Linked DNA regions of Drosophila melanogaster. The protein of the gene in region 2 interacts with the protein of the main gene of each other region in a pairwise test. Each region holds a gene or a part of one and is shown on either strand. Other genes may lie near its edges.

The links.
Region 1: the proteins of Hesr (region 2) and CG17190 interact in a two-hybrid assay, tested with the Drosophila melanogaster proteins (one large-scale study listed by BioGRID).
Region 3: the proteins of Hesr (region 2) and skl interact in a two-hybrid assay, tested with the Drosophila melanogaster proteins (one large-scale study listed by BioGRID).

What each region holds. Positions count from the first base shown.
Region 1 is NT_033777.3:20,010,753-20,016,055, reverse strand, and holds CG17190 (uncharacterized protein), read left to right. Parts: upstream 1-2,551; 5' UTR 2,552-2,605; coding exon 2,606-2,665; intron 2,666-3,462; coding exon 3,463-4,176; 3' UTR 4,177-4,280; downstream 4,281-5,303. Other genes in the region: CG4836 (uncharacterized protein), read right to left, coding at 1-1,825; MED25 (mediator complex subunit 25), read right to left, coding at 4,405-5,303.
Region 2 is NC_004354.4:18,203,395-18,207,414, forward strand, and holds Hesr (HES-related), read right to left. Parts: upstream 1,751-4,020; 5' UTR 1,727-1,750; coding exon 1,565-1,726; intron 1,437-1,564; coding exon 1,149-1,436; 3' UTR 1,009-1,148; downstream 1-1,008.
Region 3 is NT_037436.4:18,437,538-18,442,437, reverse strand, and holds skl (sickle), read left to right. Parts: upstream 1-2,495; 5' UTR 2,496-2,610; coding exon 2,611-2,937; 3' UTR 2,938-3,877; downstream 3,878-4,900.

The DNA of each region.
Region 1 (5,303 bases), on a different chromosome or scaffold from region 2:
GATCCTTCTTCTTCTTGGCGCAGGGATCTGCCTTCTTCTTAGCACATGGATCCTTCTTCTTCTTGGCACAGGGATCTGCCTTCTTTTTGGCACAGGGATCTGCCTTCTTCTTGGCACAGGGATCCTTTTTCTTGGCGCACGGATCCTTCTTCTCGCCAGACTTGAACTTAGCACAAGGGTCCTTTTTCTTAGTGTCCTTCTTGCCACACGGATCCTTCTTCTTATCCTTGCCGCAAGCACTCTTTCCGCCGCCCTTTCCCTTGCACGTGATCTCAGTGGTCTTCAACGCCTTCTTTTTGGGTGCCTTCTTCTTTGCAGGCCGCTCGCAGGGATCCTCCTTGCAGGGATCTGTGATTAGAGGACACTTTCCAGGACATTTGCGCTTGGGTTTCACGGGCGGATGCTTGCAGCCGTCTTTGTCCACCGGAACTGGCACCTCTTGCTCCTGAATGCCGGGCATGGCACACGCTTCCTCGGCTATCTTCTGCAGGGATTCCCGCACTTGACCAACTTGATTAGCCGCCGACATATGGGAAGTATCGATGATCCTATTAGGAATAGTCTCCTCATCCTTGGTCAGTTCCAGGTCCGCGATGTAGGTATCTGAGGATTTTCCTGCGAAACCTTTCTCCAAGGCGGTACTGCAAAGGTTGGCAGCCAGCGAGGTGAGGTCATCGTTGAAGCCGGGCATTTTGTCCTCCGTTATCTGGGCGGGGCTCAACTTCTGGGTATCGATCTCCACTACGCCCGAGATCAAGGCGTTGAACCTAAGCGGCAGCGTTTTCTCCACAGTGCCAGGCGCATCCAATTCCACCTTTGTGTGCATACAGATCATGGGATCCTGTGGAGTTACTGCATTCTTGTCCTTGCTTTCCAGAGCCTGCCGCAGATTGGTCATATCCATTTCGAAGGACAGCTCCATCGACGAAACGGCCATATCGTTGAGGCGATTGCTCAAATCCTGCGGCACATCCACTCGCACCTCCTCGACGAAGTCGCTCTCTTGGTTGGCGAGCTCTTGGAGATTAGATGCCTTGGTTGAGCCATGGATGGGTTCCGTCTGGGCCATGGCCGACATGGATTTGGTGGTTTTCAGAGCAGAGTTGATAGCTGAGTTACCCACAGCGTTTTGCAGGCAACTATTGACTGCCGTCTGGCGTTGCATTGGCATGTTGGCACCCTGACCCGCATCCAGTGCGGTTCCCACAGCGTCCGCCGTTGGCGTGGATGGGAAGGCCTCCCAAAATTTGCGGTCCTCGGCACTCGCCCCGGCCTTGACTTCTTGGGGCTGACCGCCCGATTCCACTTCCTGCAGGGCCTCGTTCAAGGCACCGTATTCCTCGACCATGCTGTTGGAGAAGGTCTCGATGTGGTTGGCGTACAAGCGCAACTTGTTGATGGTTTCCAGCGTGTCCTTGAGTTCGTTGCCATCCATGCCAGACAGATCCAAGGGCACAATGACTATCTTCAGATCCTTGCCATCACCCGTTTCCGGTGTAATCAGTCCAATGGGCATGATCTTGGGCGCATTGCTCGAGTTGCCGGAAAAGCTAATCCGTTTGCGCAGCATATCCACGTTATCGCTGACCGAGAACACATTGCTACCCTTTTGGGAGTACCTCTGCACCCGGACGCGACACGGATGATTCGTCCTCCGGCTAGACTTTGATCCGGAGGAGGCACTGGTGCATAGTTGCCTCAACCGTTCTGCATGGAGTAGGCTGCGCGGTCGGTATAGCGGAGCATGGTAGCTAACGCATCTAGATATCTGGAGGAGATTAAGTCCGAGACGGTTAGTCGGGAACTTCCCGAATATGCCTGGCATTTTTTCTTTTTATGTACAAATTTTTGACTTGATTCAGGAATACATAAGTTAACACACGGTAGAATTTCAGTTTTGAGAAAGGAAAGAAACCAAAATGTTGTGTAGTGTAAGACGTAGCAAGGAAAAATGGTGTAAAAGCTAACCAAATGTCTAACGTAAAAGTAAAGGGCCTACTGATTTTAGGTTTTAGCCTTAATTCAAATGTACTGTACCTGTAAAATGTTGGTTACTCTGCCAAATAAGCGCATACTACTTAATTTTTCACTTGTGCTGAAAGGCCAAAAACTAAAAACTTTGAATTTTGAATTTTGGTGGAATTTTTTTTGTAGGTTTACAAAAGGTTGTGTACTAGCACTGGGCTATGTTTTCAGACTGGGCCAGTAAGCCAAACGAGATTATGAACTAAAATTCGCTAGCCTACTGCTTTCCCGAAATTTCTATAAGATTCCACAATCGATTCGTTTGGCAAGTCCTTGAAAATAAGGAAGATTACTGCAACCTATTTGCTGCAGATATAATCCCATAAATGCTGTCACTCCAAAAACTCGAAGAACCGACTTTTTTGGGGGCCTCTAAATGCATTTTGAATTAAATTTAGGTACCACAATTGCCCCTACCGTTGCTGCATATTAATTGATTCACTAGTCACCTGGTCACCCACTCAATCAATTGGTGCCTCAGTTCGATTTCTGATTTTGCTGGCAGCGGTTTCAGTTTCTGTTTCGGTTCGGTTTTAGTTTCGATTTCTAGCCAAGAGCTAGATCCGTGATTCCATTGACAATGTTGCGATTGGCCAGCTCCACACTTAGTAGTTCCATATGTCTTATTGTGTTTTTTAATGTAAGCAAACACTTGGCATTGCCGATAATTAGGGAACTTGGCGATGTCTAAATTCATAATGTGGGTTTTTTTTAAACAAATAAGTGACTCATGAGCTAACTATTCAAGAAAATGGTGTAGGTCATGAATAGAGTATAGAGTTTGGTTGCACATTAGGGATCACCTTCGTATACAAGGTATAACCACACAAAGCTTTGCTTAAAACTTTAAACTATAATCTCTGGCTATTAGTAAGAATATAATCAGACCCTCTTCCGATCGGACCCTATGACTTTTTGAAGCAACCACCATACACCCAGAAAAATTAAGAACGTCACTCAGTGGCATTTATCATAAATCATGAGAAGATTTCTTCTTGATTTCGAGACGAAAACGATCTCAATTTTAATATTTTCAGAGGGAAGAAGTATCAGGTTTATGATTGTGTAAAAGGAACGTAATGGAAAGACTGACAAAATGAGAGCAAAGTCAATTGTAATCTAAGAATGGATCGATCTCTATCGAAGCATAATTCAATCTTGGCAGAATTTTGAGATCAAAATTTTCAAATCGAGATCTTTGAGAACGGTTTTTTCTCTAAGTGTATAGATGGGCACATATCATAACTTAGAAACCTCATCTTTGATTTGTAAAGCAGCCATATCTTATTCAACCAAATTCAAGGTCCAGTGACGCGTGCGCGTTGGGATTTGAATATAGAAAGCCTTATTACCGGTCATACTCAATATTCATTAACGTACGTGCAGCCGGTCATTAAGCGCCAATTATAGATTCCATTTCTCCGAATGTATCTGCAGTTTTTGTGGCTGCTACTGCTGACGACGACGACGACGACGACGTCCGCCAAGCCCACCAACTCCAGTGATTCTGGCACCAAGAATGGAATGCTGCATGTGACCAGCTTTGTGAACCAGAAGCCCAAGTCGGGAGTACGTGAAGAGTTCGATTTCGAGCAGAATGAGGCGGAGGCCACCAACTCGGCGCATCTGCAACAGCTCTTCGGCAGTTTGTTGCAACTGCCTGGTAAGGGAAACATGAGTCTGGAGCTGTCCCTGGAGACGGACGACGATCCGGTCAGCGAGCGAAACCAGCTGGATGATGAGATGAAGGCCACTGGCGAGCAGCATGAGGGCTTCACCGAAACTGCGGATGCATGGCATCGCATTAAGCTAAATATTCCGGTCCTGGAGCCGGTGAAGCACCTGATAAACACAGTTGGCGGTGGCGGCGTGAACGACTCCCATGTGAAGAGCAATACTCATCGGCTGATTGGACACCATGGCGTCCACGAAACTCACCACAATGGCGGGAACATCAGCTCCCCGGCCATCGAAACGGAGGAGGATCGGGAGACAGCCATCGACAGCACCGGATTCGATGTTCTGGAAACGTTGGGCAGCGCGGGAACGGTTCTGTTCAGCATCTTGCAGAATCTTCGCAAGGTGTTTGCCGCTAGCGCTGGAAGTGCAAGTTCCGCATCCTCGGGGGGCGGCGGCGGTGGAGCAAACTAGTGGACTTTCTCGGAGATTATGTTCTGTGATTAATATAAGTCTTGTGCAAATTCGGATTTCCCTTGATTCTTACTAATTAAATAAACGAAATGTTATGAAAATGGAGAAATTAATATTTCGATTTTGGGAAATAGATTTTGCCACTACCCCAAAAAAGACTTGCAGTTGGATTTTATAAAATATTTTACTGTCTTAATTCTGGTTTTTTATACGATACTCTTAAGTAGCCTACATGAACTCATAGTTTCCGTCGTCAAAGTTGCGATTGCCGACCATTGGACCGCCTGCTCCCATTTGATTGGGATTCTGGCCACCCATTTGCGGCCGGAACTGATTGCCTGGCGTGGTCTGGTGCTGCAAGAGCTGGCGCAGCCCCGGGTTGTTGTTGCTCATCATGGGACGCACCATGCGCTGCTGCTGCTGTTGCGCCTGCTGCTGCTGCATTGCGGCGACGTTTGGCGCCACTTGTTGCAACTGCTGCTGGAGGTTTGGATTGGGCACGCCACCGGGACCAACACCCACGCCAACACCTACGCCCAGTGGCATTCGCTGTTGCTGCATCATGTTCATCTGCATTTGATTCTGTTGCATGGGCATGCCGCCGGGACCGGGACCAGGTCCGCCGCCAGGACCTCCACCACCCATCTGCATATTGAGTTGGAACTGGTTGTAGTGTTGCTGCTGCGAGTTATCCTGTTGCATCTGTTGCTGCTGTTGTTGTTGTTGCTGTTGCTGCTGCAGCTCCATGGGCGACTTGCCTTGCTGCTGCATCATTTGCTGCTGTTGCTGCTGCTGTTGCATGTTGCCGTGCTGCTTTTGCTGTATGACTTTGCGCAGACGTTCCACAAACATTGCCTGATTATTGGGAATGAAGCCCAGAAAAGCGTTGCGATCGGGCGTGTAGAGTAGGATGAGAACCTTAAGGTCACAGGCTGGTGAGTTGGGGATGGAGGAGAAGTGGACGCAGCCAGCATAGCCGGAGGTCATCATCTTGGCCAGCGAATCGAGTGCCTCTCCTGGAGTGGGTCGAAAAACAACCATTTTCGAGTCCTTGAGAAACTGCCCACCAATATTGCCAACTAGGTGCTTGGGCATTAGCTGCATCAACAGCTTGGGCGGCCAGTTCT
Region 2 (4,020 bases):
TTTTTGATTGCCCAGCACCCGATACACATATTTCTAGTTGTACACTCGTATTTAAATATACCTAGATAATGGCCAAATAAATTGATATACACACCTATATATATATATATATGTATAGAGAGAGAGAAATATATATATGTATATATATATATATATAAATATATATACACACACACAGATATTGATAATTATATATACATCTATTATTATATAGAAGTCCCCATTTGTATTTTACTTGTGCAATTTGCAAATTGTTTTTGCATAGATTTATTGTTGGAAACGATTTGAATTTAAGAAGACACTCACACCTACACTGCACAAAATTGCATGCCTTCCTGTCCTCAAAAAAAAAAAAGTGAAATAAAAACTGAGTAAATCAAGCGAAGCTGAGAAGATATCGATATCTAAATATACGAAACTTTGAGTATACCTATACATATATGCAACAGATACAAATCAGCAGGTCGATGGAAAACCAAACTAAAACAAACTGCAGCAACAATCAATTTTCGCGCTTCTTACACTCAAACTCGAAATTATTGTGAACTACATACATATACTCGTATTGTACATACAAAGGCGGAAAGTTTGAGGGTCCCGACAAAAAAATTCAGCATAGACTGTAAGAAAATCCCATGCTCACTCACACGTATTTGCTAAACAAAAAGCCAATAAGCTTAAGGATAATCTCAAAGAACACCTTTTCTCGACTACTCTATTGATATGTATTTTTTTTTTGGGTATCTAGTAAGCTACTACATTGATATAACGTTAACGATACTGATAGCAGCAGATGAAAATCTTACTTTGTGTGCATTATATTCAACATAAGCAATACTTAATTTAGCATTCGAATGCATTAAGCAATGTTTATTAACAATTAAAACGATTCTAAACTTAAACCCCCAATGGAAACTCATTCTTACACTACACACATTCTACATTCTACACACAAACCACATACCTAACAAGTTTTTGGAATTATTGCGAAAAGAAAAAGATAAACTTAAAGCAAAAAACGAATGTGCAGTTTTATTTCATGCCTCTATTGTAAAACTGTCTTTAGTGGACTTGGGTCTAAATAGTTTATAATTATCCTATTTAAAAATTGTGAGTTGAGGAACTTAAGTGGATATTTCCCATGACGACTACCAGGGCCTCCAGAGATTTGGCTTGGATTTGGATGTGGAGGCCACAAGATGATCCAATTCTTTCGCAAATTCGAAACTCGGCTGATAGCCGTTGTGTTGCAGAAATTGGGACACTTCCAGGACGCATTCTCGAAAGCCACTCCAATAGCAATCAATTGGGCTCTGATATACTCCGGATGTAGGCGCTGTGGTGGGCGTGGCCACCGGACAGTTTTTCTTGCTCAGGTGGTGAACTGCCAATTCCAGGACATCTCCCATATCCATTTTGGCCATGGTCTCGCCGTCCTGTATGCAAACATTTCAAACATATTATATTGTATCAATTTTAAGAGATACAATATACAAAATCATTTTGCTACGAGCTGAGATGAGTAAGAAGACCATGGGTCAGAGGTCAACGTGAGACCACTCACCAGATGCGACACCTCCTGAAGCAGGTCCTTAATAAAGTCCAGGCAGCGATTGATGCGTGACCGCCTCTTCCTCTCCATCATTGGCTTAAAAACCTCTCGATACTGATGAGATCGTGACTTTGCTCCAACATGAGACTTCTGCTCCTCGGGACGTGCCATCATAAGCCTGGCCCAGCTCCACCTTCGGATCTTAAGCGACTGAATGGCCCAAGGAATTGGAGCAGCAGCGGCAGCTTAGATACACCCTAAGTAGCACGGCTCAGGGCATATTAGTTTTACGGAAATATGGGCTCATCCCATATATGAATCCCTTGGTTTTCTTTACAGTTACTTTGCACAATTTGCATCTTTCGTATTTCACAATTGTTTTGGTCTTTAGTACTAAATACTGCGAGGTATTATTCAGTCGCATTTTATTTTTTTTACTTACCTTGCATTAACCATCTCAGATTTCTGACAGCTTACGCAACCGAAGCAGCGATGTCGACTGCAGACGATGCGTGTTTCATTGAGGAAAATTTGCTGATGGCAAAAGTTGTCGCCGGCCTAAAGACACCTACTTGGGGTTCCTAGGAATCGGAAAAGTAAACGTTGCTGGTTACTGGGATACTTGGTTGCTCGAAGGGAACGCGAATTGGGGAAGTTCCAAATAATTCACAGAAAACCAGAAGACACCAGATATATTGGACCATACAATCCCTGTATGCCTATATCTCAATCACAAATTGATTTGCACTTTAAAAAATGATTGGAGATATAATATTTATTTGAAAGTATAGCTAATTTTACAAGTTAAGATACAAGTTGAATTCTCTTGTATGAATTTACAAACTTATGTTCTGTGGTGTTTGTCAACACCATTCTTTATGTTATTCAAGATATATAAAATTAAAATATTTCTTCACGTTCTGGAATATTTTTTCCCGTGCACTCGACTATTATACAACTTCATTTGGTGTCAAAACCGATGAGAATCTGTTTCTGGAGGCTTCTGTTTATTTGGTTTTCTGCGATGGCTTCCGCGCCAGCTGAAGTATCTGATTTGCTGCCTTGTTTTTGTTGATATTTCTGCGAAGGGACTTGTGCTTTTCAAATGGCCTTTTTTTGGGATTACGGCAAGGGCGCGTTTCCCACGCTCGATCCCCACTTACCATTGGTGCACGCGATTGCGGCAAGCTGCTGAGGCAAGCTATTAAACGCCACACTGGGCCGGGGGGCGGTACCGGTGGGCGTGGCAGGGGAGTCGACACATGTTGTGTGCCAGAGAACTTTGCTCCGATCCCCAGATCATCAAATAGTTGTCGCTGTCTGCTCGTGCGCAAATTGCAATACTTTGCATACCCTTACTGCAGGGTATCTGAGCTTGGACTTTAAATAAGGGGGTATAACATAGCTTATACTCTCTATCTCTGTTATAAAGTCAATTTTCCTTAGATCTTTAGTACAGTGGGTAGTTAAGGAGACATAACTTCCAAAAAAAAAAACTATAAAATTGCAATAATTTATGCAAAATATGTATTTTATTGAATGGGATGAATAATTTACCTTATACGACTGTAAAACATTTCTAACGATTAAATGCACTTCTAAAAGTTTTCCCACAAGTAGGTGAGCTATTATGCTAAGCGTTCCATGACTTGGAATCTAAGATCTTGTTTTGATCTTCGCTGATCTTTGAGAACTCGGGGATTACTTACACATTTCTGGGCAGGCACAAGTGGGCCGAGGCAGTGTAGATTCATCACGTTTTCACTCAACACACGCAGCTCATTAACAGCCCCGCTGACAACTTGTCAGGACTTCCCCCTCGTGAATCCCCCTGCTACGCAACCCCCATTCCCCGCCCATTCCAACACTTCCCGCCGGGAGCGTGGGAAATTATGCGTGTTGGTGGGACGTCGGGCGGTGAAAATTGGCGCGCTCTTCGGGGGGCCACACCGCGTGGCATTGACAACTCTTCCACATTTCGCGCCCAACGATGCGTTGGCATCAGTGGGTCACAGGGATTACGGCTGGCTGGGATTCCAGAGCCAGATCTTTTTCAGCCAAAACTTTCAGCTTTCGAAGACCTCAAGCGATAGGAGAGTGTCGGAAGTCCAGAAATAGACGCGTAGCACATAAATTATGGATCGTATCGAGTATCGATTAGCCCGGGACAAGCGAAGCGATAGGGAGACATATTTTTATTACCCTCTCGGGGACCTGCACTTGTTGGCTTCGCTTCTATGAAAGATCCCTCTACCATATCACGTATGTGGGCTCCCCCAATCGAACCGAGTTGTGGGAAATGTTTTCCCAGGCCAACAGCTAATTGTCACTCCAAGGGTTGTCCCCGCAGCCCAGACGACAGATAAGCGGGCAAGTGAAGCCCAGCGATCTGAGTCAAGTGAAGGGCTTCAATTTCTTTCCCGAGTGGAACTGGGATATCGAAATTACATTTGTAACAGACGTTTTAG
Region 3 (4,900 bases), on a different chromosome or scaffold from region 2:
AACAATTGTTGCCAGCTGTAAATAAACACGACTTGCCATGCCACGCCCCCTCTGACATGGCTGGCAAACAAAAAAAAAACAAAAACAAACACTGCAATGATAATAAGGTATATAATTTAATATCAATCTGACAGCCAAACACACACACAGAAGGCAACAAAGTGCCCCTGTGATGAGAACGATGCAACGTTTTATGCTGCAATTTCTGTTGTATCCGTTCTGGAAAGGTAAATACCCTATAATGGCTGCTACCGATTGGCAATACGTTGGATACAATGCAGAGACTTTGGGAAATTAATCCGAAAATGGAAAAACTGAGACTCACTTCCAGTGAGTACATACACGAATGTGTGTACGTGACCTTGTCATCGAAGTTAAGAATATTTAATGCTTTAACAACATTTTCAATTCAAAATAAATCAAAGAACGAAGAAAATTTAATTTTCAACAACTACATTTAAATTGGATATTATTTCAAAATCAACAAATTCTATCAAATCTTTGATTTGCGATTTTCAAACGATACTTATTTCCATGCCATTTCTTTTTAATTAATACAATATATTGTGTTTGCCAAATATACCATTTGTTTTTATCCATTTACCAATTAGAGCGAACTCTTGATAGTAGCTAAACTGTATTGATAAGGATAATCTAGAGTAAGCATATTAAGGCATTCCTTCATAATTATTATCCTTAAGAATAGGGTATCCTTTCATCACTCTCGTCTTGAAACTCGCTCTTCTGGGTGCTGCTTCCTTGTAATTTTTTCCTGCCGTCTTTTTCGTTGTTCGTGTGCTGCACATGCCCCGCCGCACTTCAGTTTTATACGTATACCTATAGATATGGGTGGTACATACATATATATGCATTGTCTGACTGTCTGGGGTACTCAAATGCCACTCTTTCGATGCGATGCGTTTCTTCCCTTGGATCCCACTTTGCTCCTTTTCACTTTTTTTTTCTATTTTGTTTGCTAACTAAATAAATGCAGTTTGTGTGTGCGCCTGCACTTGTTGTTTGTGTTGAGCCAAGCAGAACATTTCCATTTGAATGTTCTTTTAAGCGAAAACAATTCTTTTCTTTGTTTTGCCTTTGAGAATGTGAGTGAGTTTTGCAGGTACACGAGTATATGTAAGTGATTTGGCGAGCCCCGCTGATTTTGCTCGAGTGTTTAGCAAATTAGATCATGGATTTTTCCTCTGATTTCTCGGGGTTATCATCGCGGGGATATCATTTTTGGTACCCCGCCCACTCACCTGCACGCCCACGAAGGTGATTTTCTTTTGTTATGCATTCTTTCGTAGATTTCTTCGGTTGGGTTTTTATTTTACGTTTTTTATGCAGCAACTATAAAAAAGTTTTTACATTTTTTACGGCACTTATTTCAGCTTTCTCTCTTATTCAGCACTGCTCCAAACCCATTTTATTCTGTGGGTAACAAAAGAAGTTTTTTGACGGCGAGTGCATTATATTTTGGACTTACGGCGAGAAGTTGATTATGTTGATTTGTGGAATTGATTTGTCGGAGGGTAAAAAGGATTCAACAGACACTCCTTTACTCTATAAAAATTCCTGGCATGCGGTTCACAAAATGTTAACCGATTGTTCTTGCGGTCATAGGGAGTTGTAGGATGGTAAATTGATTTTCTTCAAGTACAAGAATAGTCGGGTGAGGAATTTTAAGTCTTGTTTAGTACTTATATAGTACGAATTCTTGCAAAGCTTGGATGTAAATGTTACAATTTTATTGTCATATTTTATAAATGCTTACTAAGTTGGAAAAAATTTTCTATATTTAATTTGTATCAACAATTAAAACTCTTGGCAAAGAAACGCAAAAAAAACAGGAAAAATAAGCCAAACAGGAAATTGGTCAAGGTCACGTCTAAGCCAAGGCAAGAAAAGTGAAGAAAAGGCAAAGCAAAGCAAAATCTCACATCGAATTTTTGTATAAGCCATTCGACTACTTCCCCTTTGCTGTTCGAAAATTCAGAAATTTAAAATTTGCATATGTTAGCTTTAAAAAGAAATATATATCATTCTACCATTTCTTTGTTATAAAATTAGCTTTAATGAAAATAATTTATCTTAGGTACTTCTAGCTCGACTTCCTAAAAATAAATTCTTTCCCCTTAAATTTGTTTTGTTTCATTTTCGAAAACTTTCCTGTCCTGGTTCGAAAAACGTAGGAAAACCACCCCATATAAATTCGAGCTTCAAACGTAACGGCGGGGTAAGTAACGTAATGGTAAAACGTATGTAACATGCCACAAGTGTGACGCTCTCTGCATTTTGTTTGAGGAAACGTTTACTGCACGTGATGAAAGTTGATATTGTCATCACAGAGAGGGCGACAGAGAGAGAGAGAGAAAGAGAGAAAGAGAGAGGTAGGAAAAAAGGGAGGGAAGATGGTAAAGAGAAAGCGGGCACAGAGGGTAGCTAATTCTCCCGCCGTTTCCCGGGTATAAATACGGGCGTCCTGCTGGCTGAGCTCTTCAGTCGTACGACAACTCGCCAAGAGTTCAGATCTGGAAAATCAGGAAATACCTTGCCACACATCGAAGTTAACAAGTGCCATTTTTACGTAACATTTTGAGCGACTCAAATATGGCCATTCCATTTTTCGAAGAAGAGCACGCCCCGAAATCGGAACCCAGTGGCGATCAAGTCGATAGCCCCATGGCTTTCTCCATAGACCCCGGACATGATCAAGTGGACTTTGAAGGACCTCCGTCTGCAGCAGAGGAACTCCCGCCACCAGGAGCAACAAGTGAGCCAGTTGCGCCTCCGAGTGCCGAGGAGCAACTGCTGGCCTGGAAATTCCTGGCCATCACCATGTGCAAGGTCCTGAAGCAATTTTACCAACAGCACAAGTCGTCCGGAAAATCCAGCAAACTAAAGGCCACCGTTCAAATACAACCGCAGGCGCAGTAAAAATTTCGAAAACCAACTTAAGCACCAACTAAGGCTCCTAAAAGCGCAACTTGTGATTACTTTACGTTGGTGAGAACTAGCGCAGCCCGAAAATTTCGAGAGAGAATGAGCGAGACAGTGACAGAGAAATGTGAATCAATTTCCCAAGGAAAACCCTAAAACAAGATTAACTTTTGATACATGTATTTTCTTTGCTGGAAATTAAGCACATAGTTTCTTATCCGTCGGGATACAACAAAATTTTAAAACTTTGGATAAGCGCAAATGTGATAAATAATTTTGCTAAAAAAATTTACAGTCCAAGTATTTGTTTAGTAAACTTATTTAAGTTAGTTTTACTTGTTTAACTGAATAAGTTAGATTCTCGTAGGTGGTCGGCCCAGTGCAAGAATAAGTGAACGAAAAATCCAAACATTCATATATTGGAAAATTGTCTCAAGAGATAAAAGCAAAATTTTGTAAGCAGTCGCTAGTTTTCAAATCGAAACCAACTTAGTTGATAAGTCAAACTATTCTACATGCTATAACTACAAATAGTTACAACTTTTTTACCAACAACTCTCTTGGTGTCTATTTATGGGGAAATTTAAATGATTCAACTTCCTAGGTAGAGTGCTTCTTAAACTTAGCAAATATATATGGAAATATATTTTTTAAAATTGAAACATATTTTTATATTTACTTTGCCGTCGATATATAAGCTGTGTACGTGTCAATCTAGTTTATAGATCTATTCTTATAAGCAATATGTGGCTAAGATTCCATGCGAAATAAATCGATGAAAAGGCGTTCTTCGCGTAACGAGCATAAACATAGTACAAGTTCAAAAGTAGAAATATTTACACACATAAATACTCCAAACTACACATTCTTTTAAGCAATTTAATGTAACTTAAGCTAAGTAAAGCAAATGGCATGAAATAAAAATATTATTGAATGGAAAAATACGCATTTTTAACTAGTGATGGGATGAACAATTCAAAAACGTTTATTTTCAGATTTTGGTCTGTTTGTGGTTTAGCAAAACAAACCCAAAGAATATTACATTTTATCGTCTAGAGTTTAATTCATATATAATTTTTATAACAAATGGAGCCTAACACAGCGAAAAACAAGACAACGAAATGTTAAGTGTAAATGTAAAATCATTTACAGTGAAATGTATAGTACTTGCTAATTTACCCAGAACTTTCGCTCCGTTGCTAGTCATAATAGACCTAATCATCGTTGATAATACTTTGCCACCTTGAAATGAGTGCCACTTTTACCCCTCAACCAAACAGATTGAAATGGTTACCGGCGGCAGAGATCAAAGTCGTTTTCTCACACAAACGACACTGAATAATTCCTGAAATTCTCTCATTCCGGTTTTCCGGACTCATACAATCGATGCTAAAAAATGTCGCGTGGCGCCACCCGACTGATTTTAAAATCTGCCTTTGGGCGAGGCTTGAAAAAAAGAGACTACTGAAATCTTTCAACTTTCCATTTTTAATACGCTTTGTATGGCGAATAATACGGGGAAAAGGATGCTGATGCTAAGCCGCTTTTTAATTTTCCAAAATCCAAATAGAAGATTCTTTTAAGCGCCGTCCACCATCAATCAATGAACGGACGGATCCATAATAATATCAATCAAGGCAAGAACTGGCAAAGAACAAATACCATTTGCCAAATAAACTGTTCCCCAGCCCCTGAAGATGATTTTAAAATTTTTTGATATTTTTCTTCCAGGCAGATAAGCAGAAGCCAAAGGATTTCCTTCTTTTTTTTGAAAATGCGCATTATGAGGACGGTTAACTGTCTGAATTCAATCAAATGTCCCCCCGGGAATTTGCACTTTTGTTTGCTCGAGCGTCCACACATGATATCGTATCCTTCATCCTTTGGCAACCCTTTCTCCGGGAGAAAGCGGTGAAAGGCTCAAGTGCATGTGTGTTTTGCGTGCGTCCAGCTGGGATTT